Linked DNA regions of Tamandua tetradactyla. The protein of the gene in region 1 interacts with the protein of each later gene in a pairwise test. Links are inferred from orthologs where the notes say so. Each region holds a gene or a part of one and is shown on either strand. Other genes may lie near its edges.

What was found.
Region 2: the proteins of TMEM239 (region 1) and CXCL16 interact in a two-hybrid assay, tested with the Homo sapiens proteins (2 studies listed by BioGRID). The two-hybrid records come from large-scale screens. The link is inferred for Tamandua tetradactyla from reciprocal best matches to the Homo sapiens genes TMEM239 and CXCL16.

Annotation. Positions count from the first base shown.
Region 1 is NC_135327.1:24,534,834-24,545,789, forward strand, and holds TMEM239 (transmembrane protein 239), read left to right. Parts: upstream 1-6,798; 5' UTR 6,799-6,924; intron 6,925-7,069; 5' UTR 7,070-7,083; coding exon 7,084-7,539; 3' UTR 7,540-7,552; downstream 7,553-10,956. Other genes in the region: C1H20orf141 (uncharacterized protein C20orf141 homolog), read left to right, coding at 5,737-6,008, 6,112-6,349.
Region 2 is NC_135332.1:60,645,367-60,657,470, forward strand, and holds the start of CXCL16 (C-X-C motif chemokine 16), read left to right. Parts: upstream 1-5,708; coding exon 5,709-5,720; exon of another isoform or gene 5,721-5,740; intron 5,741-6,141; coding exon 6,142-6,228; exon of another isoform or gene 6,229-6,293; intron 6,294-6,414; coding exon 6,415-6,811; intron 6,812-7,183; coding exon 7,184-7,322; intron 7,323-7,618; coding exon 7,619-7,701; intron 7,702-7,980; exon of another isoform or gene 7,981-11,650; coding exon 11,651-12,070; exon of another isoform or gene 12,071-12,104. Other genes in the region: ZMYND15 (zinc finger MYND domain-containing protein 15), read right to left, coding at 683-854, 1,144-1,304, 1,581-1,639, 1,738-1,891, 2,047-2,145, 2,236-2,324, 2,440-2,556, 2,707-2,787 and 5 more. UniProt on the Homo sapiens protein: Acts as a scavenger receptor on macrophages, which specifically binds to OxLDL (oxidized low density lipoprotein), suggesting that it may be involved in pathophysiology such as atherogenesis. Induces a strong chemotactic response. Induces calcium mobilization.

The DNA.
Region 1 (10,956 bases):
TGACCCAGCATCTGGCACTGTGCCTGGCACACAGGAGAAACTTGCTAAGTAATTGAAGAATGAAAAAATAAACTCTGATGTTGAGGAAATCACGAATAAAAGTTTCCTATAAATGTATGCAGAGCAGAGGGCGCATAGTAAATCTTTCAGGCACCCCCACTACCCCCAGTATAGAATAGCCTCAACTTAACACATTATCTGGGCATGACCCTCCGTTCTGCATGTCCAGGAATGGAATGTTATGAATGTTATCTAGACTTGATCAGGCTCGGGGTACTGGCAATCTTAAATCTTAATGCTAATTTGCTTATTTACAAAGAAAATTGGAACTTGCCAAAAAAAATGCTGGTGTTCTCTGTTGTATCCTATCCCCTCAAGAACAAACCTACATTGGAAGCCTGGTTCCTGGATAAGCAAGAAGAGCTAGAGAAAAAACAATTGGTGATTATTCCTGCGGGCCAGTGGCATTAATCTTATGGGCCATTGAACCATCACTGCCAGGTGAGTCAAGGCCGCCAGGTGAGTCCTTTGGGCAGGGTTCCCTGGAGGCAAATATACAGCCTGATTCTTGTTCTGTCCTCTCCTCCTAAGGGTTAGATGGCCTTTACCTACACACCTCCCCCATCAGTTTTCCCTCAAAGTATGATATGGGAACAAGAATTCAGTTCTCTGAATTATGACCAATTACCACTCTTTTTTTTTAATTTTTATTGACAAATTTTCACATATGTATACTCCATACATGAGCTACACTCAATGGTTCACAATATCTTATTTTAGAACATTTGAATAACTCCGGAGAAAGAAATAAAAGGAAAAAACTCATACATCCCATGCGCCTTATCCCTCCCTCTCACTGACCACTAGTATTTCCATCTGCCCAATTTATATTACTCCTTATCAATCCTATTATTTATTTATTTATTATCCATATCTTTTTACTCATTTGTCCATACCCTGGATAAAAGGAGTATCAGACACAAGGTTTTCACAATCACAGTCACATTGTAAAACTTGTGTCTTTATACAATCAACTTCAAGAATCAAGGCTCCTGGAACACAGCTCAACTGTTTCAGGTACTTCCCTTCAGCCACTCCAATACACCATAAACTAAAATAGGATATCTAAATAATGCATAAGAATAACCTCCAGGATAACCTCTCGACTCTGTTTGGAATCTCTCAGCCACTGACACTTTATTTTGTCTCATTTCTCTCTTCCCCCTTTCGGTCGAGAAGGTTTTCTCAATCCCTTGGTTATTCTTACGCAATAAATAGATATCACCTTTTTATTTAAGGTCTAACACAGAGGCTGGAGGGAACTGTCCGAAAATGTAGAACTGTGTTCCAGTAGCCATGTTGCTTAAAGATGATTGTGTAATGATACAGCTTTTGCAATGTGACTGTGTGATTGTGAAAACCTTGTGTCTGATGCTTCTTTTATCTACCTTATGGACAGATGAGTAAAACGTATGGGTTAAAAATAAATAAATAATAGGGGGGACAAATGTTAAAATAAATTTAGTAGATTGAAATGCTAGTGATCTATGAAAGGAAGGGGTAAGGGATATGGAATGTATGCATTTTTTTCTGTTTTCTTTTAATTTCTTTTTCTGAATTGACACAAATGTTCTAAGAAATGATCATGATGATGAATATACAACTATGTGATAAAAAAAGAATGTTCATGTATGTTGATTGGTTTTATTAATAAAAATTAAAAAAAAAAAAAGGCTTTCTCAATCCCTTGATGCTGGGTCCCAGCTATCCCAGGAATTCTGTCCCATGGTGCCAGAGAGATTTATACCCTGGGAGTCACGTCCCACGTAGAAGAGGAGGGCAGTCACCTGCTGAGTTGGCTTAGAGAGAGAAAGGCCACATCTGAGTCACAGTAGAGGTTCTCTGGGGGTGGACACACTGTTAGAATTCCCCAGGACCCTCAACCCTCCTGCCCCGCCTCCCACAGTGTAGCTAGCACTTCACACGTCTCCACACAGCAGTTGCAGACGGCATTCCTGGAATAAACTTTCAACCCAACATCCACCCTCTGGCAACCGCACTGATAAATCCCCTCACTCAGTGTCTGCCAAAACTCCCGCAGCTACAACCCTACCAAACTATAGCAGCCTTTAAATCTTAAACCCCACCAATGAAGGGCGTACAACTTCCCAACTGACCCTCCACTTCTAACCCAACCAACAAAACCCCCCAATTTCCCATGCCCAACAAAAGCCTCCAGCCCTTCTACTACAAAGGTTCTTTCCGAGTCCTTCCCCAGGCTGAAGTCTATACTGCATGTGCTCACTAATCAACCTCCTGCCTGTGCTCGTCAGTCTCCGTGTCGGGGGTGTATCCTTTTTCCTGACACAAACCAACAAAAGCCCACGCCCTATTCAAGATTCCATGTAGTTAGAGCATTCAAGTAAACTGACCATAGAAGTTAAATTTAAATATGCATTTTGCACCAAATAAACATCTCTTCCTTTGGCCTCACACAAAAGTTGAAGTTCTAAAATATGGACGATATCATCCTTTACCCTGTATTCTGATCTCCCTTAGTGCTATCCAGATCAGCTTCCTTCACAACTCTTGTCAAAGTTTAATCCCTTTTTCAACCTCTCAAACAGTTCCTGTATGGGGTACTGCTGACTTTCATAGCTTCAGAGCGCTAACTCTGAGTCTCAGGTGTCACATAAATACCTGAAGTTTCTGGGAAAGACCATGTTATATACAAACAGCTCAGTATCTCAGAATTTAGAATAACAGTTGCAACTCTGGAACAGATGTGACTGCTGTGAGCGCTTACAGTCTAAGACCCTTTACAATAGACCCAACCTGATCACACATGCTCTCGACTTCAGTTCACCAAGCTTTTATATTAGAGTTAGTCCATACGAGTGAGGCATAATAATATTTGTCTTTTGGTTTCTGACACTTCATTCAACATCCAGTCCTTAAGGTTCATTCGCCTTAATATATCTTAATATATCTCACAACTTCATTCCTTCTTGTGGCTGCTCAGTATTCTGTTGTATGTATACACCATAGTTCCCCCTTCCATTCCTCAGATGTTGTACCCTTAGGCCACCTCCACCATTGTGAATCGGGAACACTGCTCCCATAAGCACCAGTGTGCAAATGTACATTCGTGTCCCCACACTCAGTTCTTCCAGGTATATACTGAGCAGTGGGGTTTCTCGATCATACGGCGGCCCCACCCTCAGCCCCCTGTGGCCATTTCCACTCTTGCTTCTCAAGTCACTGAACTGAGATGTGTGGCCACCACCCATTTTCAGACTCTCAATGGGGATAGATTTTCTTTTCAGGTGACCAATCCCTGTTTCCTTTTTTGTCTTTTTAATTTTTATTGCGGTTAACATTACATACAACACAACACTTCCCATTTCAACCATTTTCAAATACATAATTCAGTGGTGTCAATTACATTCACAGTGTGGGCTACCATCACCACCGTCCATTAACAAGACTTTTTCAGGACCCCAAACAAAAGTGTTTCCTTTTTATATCGGTTTGCATTAAGAATGGAATGCACTTTTCCTTTACTGTCTGTAAATCTTTCTAAAGTAATTTTGACATGTTGTTTTCTTTGTGGTTGGCTTTTTAACTACTGTTTCAATATTTTTAACAGTTGCAAGATTATTTATACTTCCCTGTTTCTCCTTGAGTCAGCAGTAAGTTATATTTTTCTAGGAATTTGTCAATTTTATCAACATTTTCAGATCCTCAGGGGCTGTGGATGAGTGATCAGAAAACTCTTCCTTTCTTTCAAAGTCAATCATAAATGCCACTTCTGTGATGTCTTGAGTGCTTTCCCCCAAATTAATCCCAGCATTTAAAATTAGTATAATCAGTGTCCAAGTTCTGGTCTGTTTTTTTTTTTGTTTGTTTGTTTTCTGTTATTTTTTGGGTGCATGGGCTGGGAATTCAATCCAGGTCTCCCGCATGGCAGGTGAGCATTCTCCACTGAACCACTCGTGCACCCCCTGATTTGCTTGTTTTTGTGTAGATAAATTGAACTGAGTCCCAGTTCACATCTAAGTGGGGCCATACCTGTCTATTGATTGCATAGGGTAAGTGTTTGCAAACCATAAATTTCAGTGTTGTTAACAAAGGACATTACTTATACCCTCTTGGTCCGTGGCACATATAGTAATGATATGAAGCCATTTTATATTGTTTGCCTGTCTTAGTGCCCTATCTTTATGCCCAGTGCTTAGCAGAGACTTGGGCACACAGTAGGTTCCAAACAAAGGTTGGTTGAATATGTGAAGTAGGCATGGAGAGCATGAAGTCGGCATGGAGGACTAAGCCCTGCCCAGAATCAGAGAGAAAAGTCAGTCTTTCATGGGAAAGGGTACTCCAGAGGCCGTAAGCCACAAAGAGGTGCTTACTAAATTTCTTCTCTCCTTTGCAGGCAGTAGAACCAGTCCTGCACCCACATCAGTCTACTTACTGAACAAAGTTGCAGGCTGTGCTGCATGATTATTCTGTATCTAGTGCTCAGGTCAAAGCAAATGGGCCCAAAGTTTATGGAGCCATTCTGGTGAGCACTAGCTCCTTTCAGCACCCCAGTCCATCTGGCTTACTTTGGAGCACCCGATGGGCTCAGTTCCTCCTAGTTCTTGCCTTCTTCTCCTCCGGCTGTTTTCACAGGTGGCCATGGAACGGCTGCTGAAGAGGAAGACCCAGGCGGCAGAGCCCCACAAGAGTGGTCCCTGGGGTAGGGGGTGCTGGTGACCTGACAGTCTGCCCTGGGATGGTCTCCTCCTGCAGGAGTCGTCCCCTGGTGGTGGTGCGGAGCTGGCTTTGGATCTGGCCTCCCGCTGCCACCAGGGGCTAAAAGGCCAGAGGATGCATCCCCTTCGGTGACCCTGGTTGACATCTGTGGGGAGCTTTCAGTGCATGTTGATGTTCCTTAATTTCATTCTGAAACGATAACCTTAACCTCCAGGTTTGTGGTTATTATGTTGCAGCCTTCTTATGCACTGATCTTCTGCCCCAGTTCTTGAACCCCGGAGTTGAGTATGCTTAGATCACCCGAACAGCTCCCTCCTGCCCCCACCTCCCTCCCATTCAGCAGGTCACCCAGCCCAAGAGAGTCTCAGGCTGCCTCCTGGCAGAGCTTCTCTCCGCCTTCCAGGTCTGTAGTTTCAAATGTCACCACAAGGGCCAACAGGCATCACCTCACTCGCAGGGGAGAGGTGCGGGCAAGGAGATTGAATGAGTTGCCCTTTGACACACAACTCTGGAAACCCATGGAAAGAAGAAAGCAGACCTTCCTTCTCCACCCTGGTCGGCTGCTCTTGTGGTGACAGGGTTAGAATGCCTTTCTAGAACTCAGACGCCATCCCCAGGGGAAGGTCCTAAGGCAGAGTTAGGTCTCTCTCAGAGTTAGGTTGCAAGAGGGTCTCAGTTCTCAGGCAGTGCTGACCTCCATTCAGCTAAGCCTTGCCCAGGCCACTGACTTTGAGTGGCCTCCACCTACAGGTCACAATGCCCCAGCGGCCAGTCCCATATGGGTGCCCGAAGTGGGAGGAGGTGAGGGGGGTTTAGTGGGTGGGTATGCGGTTGGGAGAGATTCCCAAGAAGCCTGATTTCTCACTCTTTGAGCTCGCCCTTGAATGTCTGCCAGGGCCCCACCTCCTCCCATGCTCCCACCCACCCATTCTCCCTTCCCACCAACACTAGCCCTTCCTGTGACCTTCACCTCCCTCCATGAGCCGGCTCTGCTTCCCCAGGCCCGAAGTCTTTGCAAATCCCATCCCAGTCCCTCTGAGGGGTCTGGGTGCCGGGGAAGGGTTGGCCAGACCAGTGGGGCCAAACGTGACCCCCCGGGATCCTGGTCTGGTTCAGCTCCTGGACAGTGCCCTAGGGCTGGGGGCGCTGGGACTGGCAGCTCGGGCAGTCCTTTCCACTGCTGGTCCAGCCCTGTTGCTGCTGCTGCTGCTGCTACTGGTCAGCTTCCTTGCCTTCGACCTGCTCCACAGGTAAGTGGGCAGACGGCCGGGCAGGTGGGCAAGTGTGTAGGCAGGTGGGCAAGTGATCAGCCTCCCTAAACCTGGCAACCTCTCTTTCTCTCTCTCTCTACAGACCAGGAACTCCTTCCCTGCCGCAGCATAGGCTTCTTGAAGGGGGCCAGAGTCAGGGAGCCGGTGAGGGTCCAGGACAGCTGGGGACTCTACTCCTACCAGTCAGGACAGCCACAGGACAAATCAGCCTCCAGGATGCACTGCTCCTGCTGCTCATGGGTCTGGGGTTGCTCCTGGGAGCCCGTGGCATGCCCCTGACCCTGCTCGGCCTGGCTTTCTGCCTCCACCCTTGGGTCTGAGCGCCTTCCAGGAATACATGGGCCGTCCCACGTCCTCGGGTCTGCTTTCCTCCATCCTGGGCTGGGTTCCGCGAACATCTGGGACTCCCTGGCCCCACGACTTGGGTCCGAGTTTGGGGGTCCAGTGGGGCCATAAGAGACAGGGAATCCAGGGCAGATGTGGTAGCCATTTCAGAGTCTGCAGGATGGGGTGGCTATTCTGGCCTCCTCTGTGCCCCTAGGGAATGAGAATCCAGAGAGAAAGACTTGCGAGAGAGCAGAGAGAGGCTGTATATCAGCCGGCAGGGAAAGGACAGAGATACAGGGAGGGCTTTCCCATAAGAAAGTATGAGAGTACTGGTCCATGGAGCTCCCTAGGCATCCCTGCCAGCCCAGAGGGTCCATGGAGAGGGACTCAGATGAACTTCTCCCCCTGAATTGGCTCTGCTAATGGTTGGACCCCACCCCGGCCCGGGTCACAATGGGGCTCCTCTGGGGAGGGAGGGGGGATGGGTGAGCATGGGGGCTCGAATCTGGCTGCCAGGCTGTCCCGGGCTCTGTAGGAGGCAACATGACTTAAGTGGTTCTGCCCAGAGGTAAGTCCCAGGTCCCAGCTCACAGCCCCACCCCACCCACGCTGGCACCTTCCTGCCCCCGTAACACTCCTCCCACCACGAACCCGGCCCTTGGTCCCAGGCTTCTTCAGGGCTACTTCTGCAGCTAGCCTGGCCCTCTCCCCAGGTGCACCAGCCACGATGCAGCAGCCTCGAGTGGAGACGGATGCCACCGGGGCCGGCGAGGGGCTGCAGCCCGAGGTGCCCTGGTCGACCTGGATGACTCGGCAGGGCTGGCTGCGCTGGTGGGCATGCCACGTGCCCCGGAGCTGGGCCCAGTGGTGGACCACATCCGGCTGGCGGCAACCGCTGCAGCGTGTGCTGTGGGGTCTTGAGGGAATCCTCTACCTGCTGCTGGCTCTGATGCTGTGCCACGCGCTCTTCACCACCGGCTCCCACCTGCTGAGCTCCCTGTGGCCCGTGGTGGCAGCGGCGTGGCGCCACCTGCTGCCGGCCGTCCTGCTGCTGGTGCTCAGTGCGCTCCCGGCCCTGCTCTTCACCGCTTCCTTCCTGCTGCTCTTCTCCACTCTGCTGAGCCTCGTGGGCCTCCTCACCTCCATGTCTCACCCTGGCTACGCTCAGGTCTTGGACCAATAGAAAGGCAACCCCATCCCACTGCCTGTGTCTGTTGAGCTCAGGCCTAGGGCCCGAGAAACCGGAGGGGAGGGAGGGCAATGAATCTGGACTTTCCTGCCCCAGCAGCCCCCAGTCTCCAGCACAGGCCGGGGCATGTGTGGTGTTGCTGGAGCTGGAAGGATAGACGTGCCAGGCTCTGGGCACTTCCCTCAATGTGATACTGCAGGGGCCTGGTGTGCGGTCCCAGGAAAAGGCAGAGAGCTTAGCCAGGGGTGGAGTTTGGCCAAGCCACCAAAGGCTTCTGGCAACTGGCAGCATTTTCTTCTTTCAGCTGCTCAGCTGTCTCAGTCTCAGACCTCACTGAGAATTTATACCTGGGTACAGCTGACTCTCCATTCTTCCTCTTCCCACTTCCAGGAGCCCCACAAGTTCTGAGAGGGCCCCACTGACAGAAGCTTAAGGGGGAGAGGGCTGGGCAGAAGCCCCCCCCCCCCCCGAGACCTCACGTCACTCATCTCCCAGCCTCACAAGCTCGCTCTGCTCCCTTGACTTCCTACCTCCTGCCACAGTCCACACCCCCAAGTCTGGAAATTGGGCTGACCAGGGTAGTGAGAGTTCCAGGGAGTAGTTATTCTTCTTTTAAGGCTCCTAAGGTCCCTTGTGGAAAAACAAACAAGAAGCCCCGTTTGGCCCACCTACACAACGTGTGGCCTTGGCCAGTTAATTCCTTGGAGGCCTCAGTGTTAAAAGGGTCCCAACCTATCATGGGGGTTTTGTGAGTCAAAGGCAGTACTCATTTGTGAAGTACTTTATAAGGATCAGAAAACTGTAAGATGACATTTTGAACACAAAGAACATTCGGTAGGTTGAAAAAAAGTGTTTTGACCCAGAAGGCTGCTGAAAGAGCAGACAGCTTCCCTGGGCCTTCAGAAAAATGCTCTGTCGTAGATAGAAGTTTGGCTCTTGAAATGGATGGATGGGTGTGGACAAGATGTAAAAGATCTCAAAATGTGCAGATGTTAAATTCTTCTGATTGTGAAATGCTTGGGGCCGGGGCCTGGTGCCAGGAGTGCTCGCACAGCTGTGTGAGTGCGGGAGGCACAGCCCACAGGTTTCCAAAGCTGACCCAGCACACTGCTCACAGCACCAGGAGGGCTTTGGAAGGTGGCATCCCTTGAGGCCCTAGACTGGCCACCTGCACATCTGCTGACCCCTCCAAACCAAACATTAAGTAATCAGGTGTTACCAAGTAGGATACATGATAAGACAAACTTACCTACCCGACCCCGCCCCATTCCTGACCCTGAAGCGATCCCCAACCTCTAGTTCCTGCCCAGCCCTGACCCTTTCTCCTTATTTAACCCTAAAATGCCCACTTTAGAAGCCATAGACATAAGTCCCCTCTCCTTCCATCTAAATATTTGGACCCTGAGGCTTGGCCACCCCTAGAGACCTGATGAGTGCTTAGTTCGTCTTTGCCAACATCCATTTACCATCAGATTTTACAACCCTGCTTGCCACTGTTAGATGCCTTCAGCATCAGTGCCTCAAATATGGTCTGGTGGCAAGGACAAAGTGAGACACAAAGTTGATACGGCTTTGTGGCTGACTTGGCTTTAGCATATTAGCTGAGGCTAAATCTGAATCCCAGCACTGTCACTTTCTAGCTCCATGGTCTTGGTGGAAATTGCTAACTCTCCCTGAATTTAATTGTCCTCATGGGTATAATAAAAGTAAGAACAAGTGCCTTAGGGCTCCTGTGGGGCTCCTGAGGGGCTCCTGGCACATGGGTGACTACCTAGATTGGATTCTAGCTCCGAAATTATAGCTATGCTACTACTATGCATTTTAGAGATGAGAAGTCAGGCTCAGGGTAGTCACTTGCAAGTGGCCAAAGAAAGCCATTTGAGAATTCAAAATGGCTACTAAAGGAAAACTATGGTAGCTGGAGGTAATACAACCTCACCAAAGCCCAGAGGCCTCTCAACACCTGTGCTTAAGAGCTTCCTTAGAGATAAAGCCCAGGCTTTGAAGTCATGAGTCAAACCAGTCTAGATGCCTGGTGGGCCAAGGCTCCAGTGTCCTACGGGTTAGGGGTGGGACCAGGATGCCAGGACCATTGACTTGCTATGTACTGCTGGTCAGTGACGTCACTCCAATCCAAGGGGGCATTGGATTAAGGGAGAAGGGTGGCTGTAGCCCAAACCTGAGGCCCTTGGGGGCAGGACATGGGCAAGAGCAAAGAGAAGACCTTGTTCTCCCTTAAATATAGACCTATCACCTTCTTCCCTGCTGGTATGGAGTTAAGTGGAATAGCCAGGCTGGGGAGCAAATGATTAACACTTATCAAATTAGAACACGTATACCCTGTGGCCCAGCAATCCAAAATAAATTCTCACCGAGGGCCATAAAGACCTTGCTCCTTGAAGTGTGGTTCCAGGACCAGGCAGTGGAGGCATTACCTGGGAGCTCGTTAGAAATGCTCTGTCTCTGGCCCTACCTCAGACCTGATGAATCAGAGCCTGCATTTTAGCAAGAGCCCCAGGGAACACAAGTGCATACTGAAATTTGAGGAGTGCTGCTTAAGAAGGGTGCATTTGAGAATAATGATATTATTATTGGTGGTGGCAAGAAGATGGGAAAAGTAAAGCATGGCCGACAAGCACCATGGAGCAGAGGCAGCAGTTAGAAGGGGGTAGAGCTTAAAATCCCAATGTTGAGTGAAAAGAAGCTGCATGAGAAGTAATACAATTCCTTTTACACAAATTTAAAATGCATGTCAGCCAAAAAGGACACTATGTATTTTTTCAAGAACACATAAAAACAAAAGATAAACAGAATGGAATGGCCAATTCAGGGGTAGGTAAGTGGGAATGGGGCGTAAACATAAAAGGGAATAAAGGAGGGACGTTGCAGAGATGAAAAATGATAATGGCATGAAAATAATTCCCCAAATTCCTTTAAATGTAGACAAAGTCATCGCTTTATAGTTAAAAGACTTAAAACTGAAAACTTGCGGAGGAGACCAAATATGCTGGTATGAAGGAAGTCCTAAGCCTTTGGGGTTTGCGCCAAGAAGGGAGAGCTGCCAGGACTGGCCTGTGTGACCTGGCCCAAGTGGGGTTGATAACTCTGCCTGCCCTCCCTCCCCATCCCCCGAGCCTGCTGCAGATAATCCAGCAATCCCTTGTGGCCTGGCCAAAAAGACAATCAGGTCAGGGGGCAGTAAGAAGGGAGGTGGGTGCATAGGTTGGGTGCAGTCAGCCTCGAGGGGCCTTGCATCTAGGAAAGCAGAGTCCAGGCCTGCCTGGCAAAGAGCGCCACAGAAGCATTACAGTGTCTTGGGGTGGGGGTCCTGAGAGTGGGAGCACGCAGCAGGACTCCCCCCACCCCCACCCCCGTGCCGCTACCCCAAAGAACCAGGGGCAATGAGGAGGA
Region 2 (12,104 bases), on another chromosome or scaffold:
AAGAACAGAGGGAAGTCACTGAAGAGGTTTAAGCAGGGGAGTGATTTGTTCAAATGCCTGTTTTAGAATACTCTGGCTGCAGTGCAGAGAGGAGATACAGCCGAGTTTGCAGTAGGACAGGAAATGAGCTGATAAATTTGGGCGCCTTTAGGAGACAGACTCTGTAAGAGTTCATTAGATAGAAAGAATGAGGGAAAGTGGAGTCAAGGATGGGAGCCAGGTTCCTGACTTGGACAACTGGGTGGTTGGGGCCTTTCACTGAATCTAAACCAAGGGATCAGTATGCCCCTAGGAGGTTAGGTGAACATTCCTATGCAAACCCCGTCCCCCTAGTGGGAAACCACTTCCATCCTTGGGGCAGGACCCTGAGTTTCCCCGGACCGGAAAATGGCTTATTAAGAGGTTTGGGATCACCAAAGAGTGTGTCCGAGAGGGGACAGCCGTTGGAGGGACTGAAAGGGACTGGAGGAGTGTCAGCCCTAAATCTTCTCTCCCCGCCCTTATCCTTTCCTAGTCATTGGCGTATAATGAAAGGGTCGATGACTCAGTGATTTCAAACAAGTAATTTTATTTACCTTTCCATGTTCCGCCAACCAATCCTCCCCCTCAGCCTGGCGCTTTCCCATTTTTTTCCTTTCTGCGGCGCGTCGCGGGCGGGGGTGGCCTGCTGCCGTCTCAGCCCTCACCTCCGCCGACGGGGCCCCCGCCCGGGCTTCTTCTCTCCGCGGCGCCTTCGGGCGGGGGCGGGAGGAGCGGCAGGCGGCGGGGCCGGGGGCGCGGGGCCGGGCGCTGGGCGGGCCCCGCTGCCGGGCGGGGGCTTGTAGACCAGGTGGAAGATGAAGGCGTTGCAGTACCTGAGAGGGGGGCGCGTGGGTGCGGTCAGGGGCGGGGCCAGGCGGGCCGGGGGCGGGGCCAGGCGAGCTAGAGGGGGGCAGGGTCCTTTCGAGGGTGGGGCGAGGAGTTGGGAAGAGTCTGTGAGCTGGATCTTAAAAGGGGTGGTGGGGGGCGGTGGAGGCGGAGAAGGCGGGTTACACCGGGCTGGAGAGGCAGAGGGCAGAGGTGGGCCTTTTTAGATGTGGAGCCAGAGAGGAAGAGGACGAGTTGAGGGTCACGAAGGAAATAGGGAGGGTCGTGGGCCCTCACCAGGGCATGCAGTTGTCGGCCGCTCTGAGGCGAAAGGGAGAGCGGAAGGGGTTGGGCTGTGGGGGGCTGGTGCCCCCTCCTGTGGCCACGGCCATGGTCTGGTCGTCCATCACGCAGCCATACTCGCTGCTCTCGGTGAAGAAGGCCGGCACTCGGAGGGACTGCGAGTAGGGTGGGGCCTCAGAGACGCGCCTTGGGAAGCTCCCCCACACCTCCCAGGTACAATCCCAAGCCACAAGGATGGCAGACAGAGTTGGGAACTGAGGCTCCAGAAAAGACCCTGTCAGGGGAGGGGCATAAGGCAGACAGGGGCAAGAGGACCTGTGGACGCTCCCCACATGTTGGGAGCAGAGGATGGGAAAGGGCCCAGAGATTCTCAGACGAAAGGAGAGGCAGGGCAGGTAGCCAGAGAAGTTCTCTTTTAAACCCCTCCCCACCTGTAATCGGGGCAGAGAGCTCAGCCAAGTGTCCTTGAGACCAAAGCCAGAGTTAAATCCTGTGGACAGAGAGCAGGGAGAAGCTGGCTCCCATGGTCTGCCTCTCCTCCACCTTTTCCATGCCTCCTTCCTCCTCCCTTGAGCCCCAGGCTCTCACCAATAACCAGGTCAGGCTTGGGCCCCTGGAGCAGGTGGTAGGGCCGTGCTGACACCTTGATCTGCAGGTCCCTGCGCCCCCCCTTCTCCTTAGTCCCAGAGCTGAGCCGTGCTGATACCCCAGATCCAGGGCGGACCGACACCTCAGGGCCATCCTGGGGGGCCAGGAGCGGGGTGGGGAAGCCACTGAAAATCAGAGTCCTGGAGAATGCACCAAGCAAGACAGGGGAGAAGGAGAGGAAAGGAGGGGCCCAGTGGGGAGGACAGTAGGGAGATAGGGCTGAAGAGCAGGGCTCCCCTTAGTCCTGACCCTCTGTAGAGTAAAATGCTGCTGGTCGCTCTCGGGGGGCAGGCCATCACCCACAAACTGCAGCTCCAGGGCCACATGGGGGAGCAGGACCAAGAGCTCCTGAAGGACAGAGAGCAGGACAGATCTGGGTCCCACCCTGCGTCCACCCCCATACTCCGGAGCCCAACCCTCAAGCCTGGAGGGACTTACCCAAAACACCATGACAAGGTCAAACTCTTTCCCGGCCTCCACCACGTGGATCTTCAGTGACTGTTTGTTCTGGATGTTGAGCTCAGGGACTGGTGAGAAGCCAGCTTTTGAAGGATACAGTCTCCCTCTTTTCTCCCTCCAGCCCCCTACCAGCTCCCTACACCCCCTGCTCCAGGCCCTCCTCCCTGCCCCAGCTTTCCTTACAGGACTGGGGCACAAGGTGGGTGATGACATAGTACACTGTCAGAGGGTAGGTGAGAAGCACGGCCATGGGAGAGTCCAAGCCGAGGCCCCGCCATGTGTAGTAATCCTGCCAAGAGACTGGGGAGAGTGGGTTAATGGAGGACCCGGCCGCAGGCCAGGACCCCAACTCCTCCAATGTAACAGCCCCCTTTTTCTGAGCAACCTAGGCTTCCAGCCCTCCAGCCCCTGTTCCTGCCCCCTGGGTCCCTCTGGGCTCCTCCAACTCACCAAAGAGGCCTCTTGGTGGATCTGGGGGCACAGGAGGCATCAAGGCAGGCCCGTCCCCCTGGAGAAGCTGGTAGGGATCTCCTGAGAGGATGAAAGGGAGAAGGACCTGATGTCGATAAGACCCTCGCCTGGGCCATCCCCCTCTTCCTTCCAAAGGAGCTGTGTCCCCTGAGAGAGCTCCTGGAGCTGCAGCAAGAGGAATGGGGGTTTGTCTGGTAGGGATGGAGCTTCTGAATGGGCTGCACAGAGTGAGGTGCTGGTTGGGAGAGGGGGGAGTTTGGTGTGGATGTGGAGGGGTTATCTGGGACTCGGACAACTTTTTTCCCCTGTAGGCTGAGGGGCCCATGTCTGAAGAGATGCCCCACGCACCACTGAGAAGAAGGCTGAGGGATGGTGCGCTGCCCCGTGGGTGCCTGGGAGTGCCAGGGCCTGGAATCAGCATGCTGAGCTGGGTCCAATAGCCACGAGTGAGGCCCCGGGACACCAGGAATGCCTCCTTGTTAAAAGTTTCACTGGTCACCTCTGGAGAAGGAGGAAGAGGAGGGGTTGAGGGCCTGGTGGCTAGGACCCCAGACTTTCACTCTCCTCAGCCTCCCTCAAGGACCCCAAATCTGAATCTGGTTGTAATCAGGGAAGGAGCTAATATTTTACCACCTAGACACCAAGTCCACATAATCCTTATGACAATTCCATCTATGGGTTTTTGTTTGTTTTTTGGTGCATAGGTTGGGAATCGAACCTGGGTCTCCCGATGGCAGGAGAGCCTTCTATCACTGAACTAGCCATGCATCCCCATCCATGGATTTCAACATTTGTTAGTCTCCCTATTTTACAGATGAGAAAACCAAAGCCAGAGAACTAAAGAGATTTGTTTAAAATCACACTGCCGGTTAATGGTAGAGCTGGGAAGGGAGCTGTCTGAGTCCCTAACCCTGAATCTCCTAAACTCTTTCAAGGATCCAGGTACTCAGTCCTCAGCTTCAGAGACCCTGCTCCAGCCCCAGGGATCTAACTAGCCCCCTAACCCCAAACACCAGCCTATCTTTAAGGGGTCTAGACTCCATCCTCAAGCACTTTGCCTTCAATCCCAGGACCCTGTACCCATTTCCAGGCACCCAGACCACAATCCCAAAGCTCTAATCCCAGCTTTTGGCCCCCATCCTGACCTTAAGTACCTGTGGTGTAGGTAAAAGGCAGAGTTGCCAGTTCTCCTGCCCGCTCCATGAAGGCTGCAAGCCTCGGGCACCAGAATTGGTGGCTCACATCATCTGGGGACCGCCGCCAGTCAGCCCGGAGACAAGCTTCTCCACAGTACAAGACAGCGCTACACTGGGGGCTGGGAGACACGGCGGCTGGTGGGCCCCTAGTTGCTCTCTCTGTAGGTGCTTTGTCTGCCATCTGTCTGCCCTTAAGCTGCCCATTTGTCAGTTGGCCTGTTTGTCTGTCTTTCTAACTGTAAGGGCTTGTTCCTTGTCTCCCTGGCCCTCCTTCCATCTGTCTGCTGAGTCCCCCACCAGCCTGCATTCTCTCTGTTTGCCTGGTCTTCCTCCCTCGTACTCCATCTCTGCTAGCTGCTCACCAGGGCCTCAGTTTCACTTCAAAGCTATGCCTGTGACAAACATGGCAGGTTCGAGCCCGAAGGGACGCAAAGGTGAAGCCCGGCCGGGGACCCCATGTCCGCATTGGGGTCTTGGCTAACTTCACTCCCAATCTTGGAACCAGGCTCTCCAGCTCTCTGAGTGGGGTGTGAAGATGGTGTCAGGCCCAGGGCTTGGAAGTCCAGGTCCTTAGGCTTCCCCACCCTCACATGCCATGTTTCTGTACCGATGCAGCTGGGGGTCTCCCACAGTAAGCTGTCGGGGCTTTCGGGGGTCCCCAGACCCCATGGGGCAGGCCATGCTGTGGCAGAGGAGAGCGTAGGCCCGAGGAACCAGGTGCGTCAAGTTCTCTGTCCCTGAGCCCCGGCCTGTGCTCCCCGGGGCTCCATTCATTAGCAGGTCAATGCCCAAGATGGTACCATGTTCATCTGTCACCAGTAAGAGGCAGGAGAGGTGCAGGGGGTCAGCCTCTGGGAAAAGAGGAAAAAGTCACAGGTGTCGTGATGGACAAGGTCAGGGGTCCCAAATGCCTACTGGGGCTGGGCAAGTATGCCAGTGAGTAAAAGGGCCTAAGAATGCTTCATGGTACCAGCATTTGCTGCCCTACAGAAATGTGTTTAGATTTTTCTTGAGAAGGTATTAATCTTCTGGATTTCTTTTTCTTTTAATATTTAAATGTCGAGTCGAATTAAAAAACAAAAAGTACTGTGGATTAATGAAGACACTTCTTCAGTCCAGACTGAGTTCTGGCTGGCGGGGGAGGGTTCCAGAAGTGAAGCTCAGCTGGGCAGGGGATAGGGCAAGGCCAACCCTTGGTTCTTACCACTTCTCCGTCCTTTCCTCTTCTCAGAGGCTGTCTCGTCCTCTGCCTTGTTCTCTCGGCAGTCATCCTCGCCACTTCTAACCTCCGGCTCAGCCTCCTCTGGCACCCCTGAGGGGTTTGCTTCCTGCGGGGAGTCCCTACTGGTCGCAGCTGGCGCGCTGTCCTCCTCCAGATCCACCTTCTCTGGGCCTGCATCTTCCTTTTCTCCATTCTCTTCCTCTTCCTCTTCCTCCCCCTCCCCCTCCCCCCCATCCTCCAGGCGGACCAAGCTGATGTAGGGGCTCAGGTCTCGCAGATGGAGGGGGGCCTCATCTCCCAGGAGCCGAGCAGCCCCCAGGCCTGGCCCAGCACCTGGCTCTGCCCCTTGCCCCAGGCTGATGCCCACACTACGGTTGGGCAAGACATGGAGCACCCAGAGGGCCGGGTCCTGGGGCAGCCTTCTGATCTGAGCCTCCAGCTGTCGCCAGCGGCCCTCGAGACTTGTCCCCACAGCCCCACGCTCGGCCACGAACTTGCGGAACCAGCCAAAGAGGAGGGCAGCGAAGTCAAGAAACTCATCCCGGTATCCAGACACAAACTCCATGTCTTCAGGGGCACAGGGCCTGGGCCCAGACTGAGCAGAGGAAGGGACATATGGTGAGGGGCGGGTAGTGTGAGAGAGTTCGGGGGTGGGGGTGGGCTGGCGTGGGTTTGTGAGTACTTTAAGGTGAAGTCTGCAGATGAGTTGGAGGAACTGAGAATAGGGTTTCAGGATTGAGGATAAAAATTCAGAAATGAGGATGGGAGGTTACTTTTTGGAAATGAGAGATTAGGGTAGAGGGTGATCACTCAGGGGCTCAAAATTTGGGGGCTTAGAATTTGAGGGTTCAAACCCTCAGAAGTCGGGTTCGAGTATAGGCTGGGGATGAGGGAGGGCTAATCCCACTGGGAAGGGTTGGGCAAGGAGGGAAGAATTTTGGACCCGTCTGTGGGGCGTGGGAGGAGGGACGAGGGCCGGGGCACCCCTTCGGCCAGGCTCGGTTTGACGGTGAGCCCCAGCAGACCTCGCCCCTCCCGGCCGCCCGCTACTCCGGTACCTGCAGCCGCCACCACTTTTCGAAGGTAAATACCACGGGGAGGGCAGTCGTGACGTCAGGGCGGCCCGAGCCCTCGGCCCGCCCCTCGGGTGGCCACGCCCCCGTGGGCTCCGTGACCGAGGGTCACTGCGCTGGCCAGGGTTCGCCACCTTCGCTCCGGCCATGTGACTGGACTCGGCTGCGCCCGGGGCCCGGCCGGGAGAAGTGAAAGCGCCCCGGAGGGAGGCTGCGCCGCTCGCTGGTTTCGCCCGTCCCGCCTGCTGACCTGGGGAGGGCGGGCGGCCCGCGGGGGCGCGGGGCGAAGGTCCGCCTCCGGGGCTTTCCCTGTCGCGGGCGGTACCGACCGCACGGTCCGTTCGCGACGGTGGGAGCGCCGTCACCTCGCGCCCGCTCCGCAGCAGGGACCCGGCCCCGACGGCCGCCGTCTTCTCCAGACGTTCAGTCGGAGCAGGGGAGGAAAACCAGCCCGACTTCACGCTCCGGGATCCCGTCCGGGAGGCAGGCAGGGCGAGGTGGCCTCGGCCACCGAGACCCCGAGATGAGGCGGGGTCGGCGACCCCCCGCGCGCGCGCTCCTGTTCCTCCTGCTAGCGCGGCTGAGTCTGCCAGGTTCGTCAGGGGCTGGGCCGGGAGTCTGGATCCCTGCGTCCGGGAAAGGGGATGTGCTTGGGGAGGGGAAGTTTGACGGCCGCGGGGCTGTATAAATGGAGAGCCAGGCGCAGGGTAGCAGGGGCAAGGGGAAGACCAGCTGCCTGGGGATAGAAGCTAGGGGACACCTGGGTTCAGGTACGACTACAGACGTCTTTGGGGGCGAGGCGTGATGTGAGGGCTAAGCCTGGGGGTCAGCTAAGCCTGGGATCAGACCCTGGGGTCTAGGGGAGAGGCTGCAGTGGGTCAGTGGGTTGGGGTTAAATAAGAACGGGGGTGGGGGGAGCTCCCTTGGCCTGGGAACTTGAGTTGTCCACCTCTATTCCTGCTCAGGCGATGGCAACCAGGCCAGTATCACAGGAAGTTGTCCCTGTGATAAATCATTTTCTTCGCGCTCCCCACCAACGCCTGAATACATGGAACATTTCCGAAAACATCTGAGAGACTACCAGCGCTGTCCGCATTACATCAGGTGATCTTCTCACCCACCACTGGAAGGAAGGGAGTGCCTGCCTCATTCCTGCCGGGCGCCTCCAGGACCCTTTTCTGATCTAAAGCTGAACTCCTTGGGGTGGGCATACCCCCCTTTCCCGGACCTCAACTCCCCACACATTCATTTCCCAGCCCCACTTACCTGGGGACTTCCCAGTTCCAGCAGACAAGACTTTCTTGGCGGTGACCTCATTCCTTTGGAATGAGGAAGGAGCAGGGCAGGGGGAGGGGAAGAGGGGAGCCGGCAGCTGAGAACAGTTTTTTTTTCCCTTGCAGGTTCCAGCTTCATTCCCGGAGTGTGTGTGGGCACAGCAAAGACCAGTGGGTTCTTAGTTTGATGCGATGCTATGATAAAAAAGGTGAGAAGTTTCCCCCCTCCTTCCCAGGCTCTGCCTCCAGGGCTTAGCGGCTTCCACTTTGCAAATTTTTTTTTTTTGCTTCAGCAGTTTCCCCTGCGCTACCTCACATTCCCAGAACATGCTAACACTGGTCAAAGAAACTTCATCTAAGTCTGTGTTTACCAAACTTCATTCATCACCACCTTCATGATTTTTGTCAATTCCTTCTACCATCTGTGCTGTTATTGACTTAATATTCTTTTTAAAATCAAGCAACTATTTTTGTTTTCCAATATTTTATTACAGAAATTGAAGGATACATATGAAAGTTCAAAGAATTGTACAATGAACATCCATATACCCACCACCTAGATTCCACAATTATTTTACTATATTTGCTTTATTTCACATCTGTCTCATTATCCATCCCTCTCTCCATCAACCTACCTTATTTTTTAAAAAATACGTTTATTGACAAATTTCCACACACATACAGTCGATACATGGACTGTATTTTTAAAAAAATAGTTTTATTGATAAAACTTAACATAAAAACATTCTTTTTTATCACATAGTTGTATATTCATCGTCATGATCATTTCTTAGAACATGTGCATCAATTCAGAAAAAGAAATAAAAAGAAAACAAAAAAATTCATACATACCCTACACCTTACCCCTCTCTTTCATTGATCACTAGCATTTCAGACTAAATTTATTTTAACATTTGTTCCCCTATTATTTATTTTTAATCCATATGTTTTACTCATCTGTCCATAAAGTAGATAAAAGAAGCATCAGACACAAGGTTTTCACAATCACACAGTCACAATGCGAAAGCTGTATCATTTTACAATTATCTTTAAGAAACATGGCTACTGGAACACAGCTCTACATTTTCAGGCAGTTCCCTCCAGCCTCTCTGTTACACCTTAACTAAAAAGGTGATATCTATTTAATGCATAAGAATAACCCCCAGGATAATCTGTCAACTCTGTTTGGAACCTCCCAGCCATTGACACTTTATTTTGTCTCGTTTCTCTCTTCCCCCTTTCGGTCGAGAAGGTTTTCAAAATCCCTTGGTGTTGTGTCCCAGCTCATTCTAGGATATCTGTCCCACGTTGCCAGGAAGGTCCACATCCCTGGGAGTCATGTCCCATGTAGAGAGGGGGATGGCAGTGAGTTTGCTTGTCATGTTGGCCAGGAGAGAAAGGCCATATCTGAGCAACAAAAGAGGTTCTCTGGGGGTGACTCTTAGGCCTAATTTTTAAGTAGGTTTAGCCTATCCTTTGCGGGGTTAAGTTTCATATGAACAAACCCCAAGATTGGGGGCGCAGGCTATGGCTTTGGTTGTCCCCACTGCTTGTGAGACTATCAAGAATTCTCCACTTGGGGAAGTTGAATTTTCCCCCTTTCTCGCATGGACTGTATTTTAATTTAAAAAAATAGTTTTACTGAGATATCTTCACACACATACAATCCATCCAAAGTATACAGTTAAAGTATACAATTAAATCCATCCACAATACCATCACATAGCTGTGTATTCATCTCCATGATCATTTTTAGAACATTTGCATCATTCCAGAAAAATAAAAAAACTCATACATTCCATACCCCTGACCCTTTCCTCTCATTGACCATTAGTAGTGTCACCTACCCAATTAATTTTACCCCTTATTCCCCCTATTATTTATTTATTATCCATATTTTTTACTCATCTCTCCATACCCTGGATATAAGGAGCATCAGCCACAAGTTTTTCACAATCACACAGTCACACTGTAAAAGTTATATCTTTTTATAATTGTCTTCAAGAATCAAGGCTACTGGAACACAGCACAATAGTTTCAGCCACTACAATACACCATAAACTAAAAAGGGTTATCTATATAATGCATAACCTCCAGGATAACCTCTTGACTCTGTTTGAAATCTTTCAGCCAGTGTAACTTTATCTCATTTCTCTCTTCCCCCTTTTGGTCAAGAAGGCTTTCTCAATTCCATGATGTTTGGTCCCGGCTCATCCTGGGAATTCTGTCCCAGGTTGCCAGGGAGATTTACACCCCTGAGTGTCCTGTCCCACGTAGTGGGGGAGTGCCGAGTTGGCTTAGAGAGAGAGGCCATGTCTGAGTAGCAAAAGAGGTTCTCTGAGGGTGACTCTTAGGCATAATTTTAAGTAGATCCACCTTATTTTTTGACGCATTTCAAAGTAAGGTGTAGGCATCACTATACTTCATCTCCAAATGCTTCAGTAGGCAATTAACTAGAGTTCAATATTTTGCTTTTGTTTTTTCTTTTGAGATAATGTTTACATATGACGAAATGAATACATCTTAAGTATCCACAGCCACTTTCGAAAATTTAAATAGCAACTTGTCTTAAGTAATAACACCTGGGAAATCACAAATTTGTTGCATTAGTTGTATTTCACTCCTAAAATAAGTGTACAACCACTAAAATGTTCTTCCATGTCTCAGCTAAAGTTTTCTTACACATACCACCTTTTGGACTACACAGACATGTCTGATCTTATTTAATTCCCCCATCTACTCTGGTCCTTTGTACTAAAATTATCTGCATTTTACAGCTGAAACATCTGAGTCCTAGAGAACCTTAAGAGACACCAGGCAAGGTCATACAGCCATTTTGCCACAGAGCTGGGGTTCAAGCCCAGGTTTCCTGGCTTCCCAGTTCAAAATGCACTTTTCCAGTGGTTCCATACTGTGTTTTGCCCACTTACTTGTCTTCTATCTTTCCCTTCTGCTACTGCCTTCCTTTCTTTTTTTTAAAATTTATTAATTAAAAAATAAACAAAATAAAACATACATAATTATCAATATCATCACTTAGTTGCATATTCATAATTTCTTAGAACATTTGCATTAATTCAGAAAAAGAAATAAAAAAACAGAATAGGAAATAAAAAAACAGAATAAGAAATAAAATGAACACAGGGAAGAAAAAAAAAGATTATACCTACCATACCCCTTACCCCTCGCTTTCATTGATCACTAGCATTTCAAACTAAATTTATTTTAGTATTTGTTCCCCCTATTATTTATTTTTATTCCATATGTTCTACTCCTTTGTTGACTAGGTAGATAAAAGGAGCATCAGACACAAGGTTTTCACAATCACACAGTCACATTGTGACAGCTGTATCATTATTCAATCATTCTCAAGAAACATGGCTACTGGAACACAGCTCTACATTTTCAGGCAGTTCCCTCCAGCCTCTCCATTACATCTTGAATAACAAGGTGATATCTACTTGATGCATAAGAATAACCTCCAGGATAACCTCTCGACTCTGTTTGGAATCTCTCAGCCATCGACACTTTGTCTCATTTCACTCTTCCCTGTTTTGGTCGAGAAGGTTTTCTCAATCCCTTGATGCTAAGTCTCAGCTCATTCTAGGGTTTTTCTCAATCCCTTGATGCTGAGTCTCTGCTCATTCCAAGATCTCTGTCCCACGTTGCCAGGAAGGTCCACACCCCTGGGAGCCATGTCCCACATAGAGAGGGGTAGGGTGGTGAGACTGCTCGCTGTGTGGGCTGGAGAGAGAGGCCACATCTGAGCAACAAAAGAGGCTCTTTTGGGGGTGACTCTTAGGCCTAAATTTTAAGTAGATTTGACCTATCCTTTGCAGGGTTAAGTTTCATATGAACAAACCTCAAGACTGGGGGCTCAGCCTACAGCTTTGGTTGTCCACACTGCTTGTGAGAATATCAAGAATTCAACTTGGGGAAGTTGAATTTCTCCCCGTTCTCACCACTCCCCAAAGGGGGCTTTGCAGATACTTTTCCACTCACTGATTGAATCACTCTGGGATTCATTGGGGCTGCCTTCCTTTCTTGACCTTCAGATGTCCTCTTGATGCTCTCCCTGACTCCCTACCCTTTCTTCTATCTTCTTCTTCACCTTGACCTCTGGGGATAGTCCTGATTCCTTATTTATTGTCTCCCCAGAATGTGGACGTGCTTACTTGGGGAGTCAGACCCACCAACAGCATTTACCTCCCCCCAGCACCCAGGCCCATGAGCCCACAGAGCGGGCACCTTCAGAAACGGGCACCAGTGTCCAGACGTTTCTACTGTCTACCCTGCAGTCTTCCCAGCAGCCCACCCTTCCAGCAGGAGTACCATCCTTGAACAAAGGGCTCACATTCCCCAACGAAACCACCATTCCCATTCTGCATCACAGTCTGGGAGCTGAACCTGCTTCTGGAGAAAACCAGAAGCAACAGGTTGAAAATTTGGGTCCGACAGCTGGGTCATCAGCCGTGGTACCAGTGCTGTCCCTCCTGGCCATCATCTTCATCCTTGCTGGAGTTCTACTCTATGTGCTGTGCAAGAGGAGGAGGGAGCAGTCACTGCAGTACTCTCCAGGTAAACTGGCCTTCCGAACCCCCAAGGAACCAGA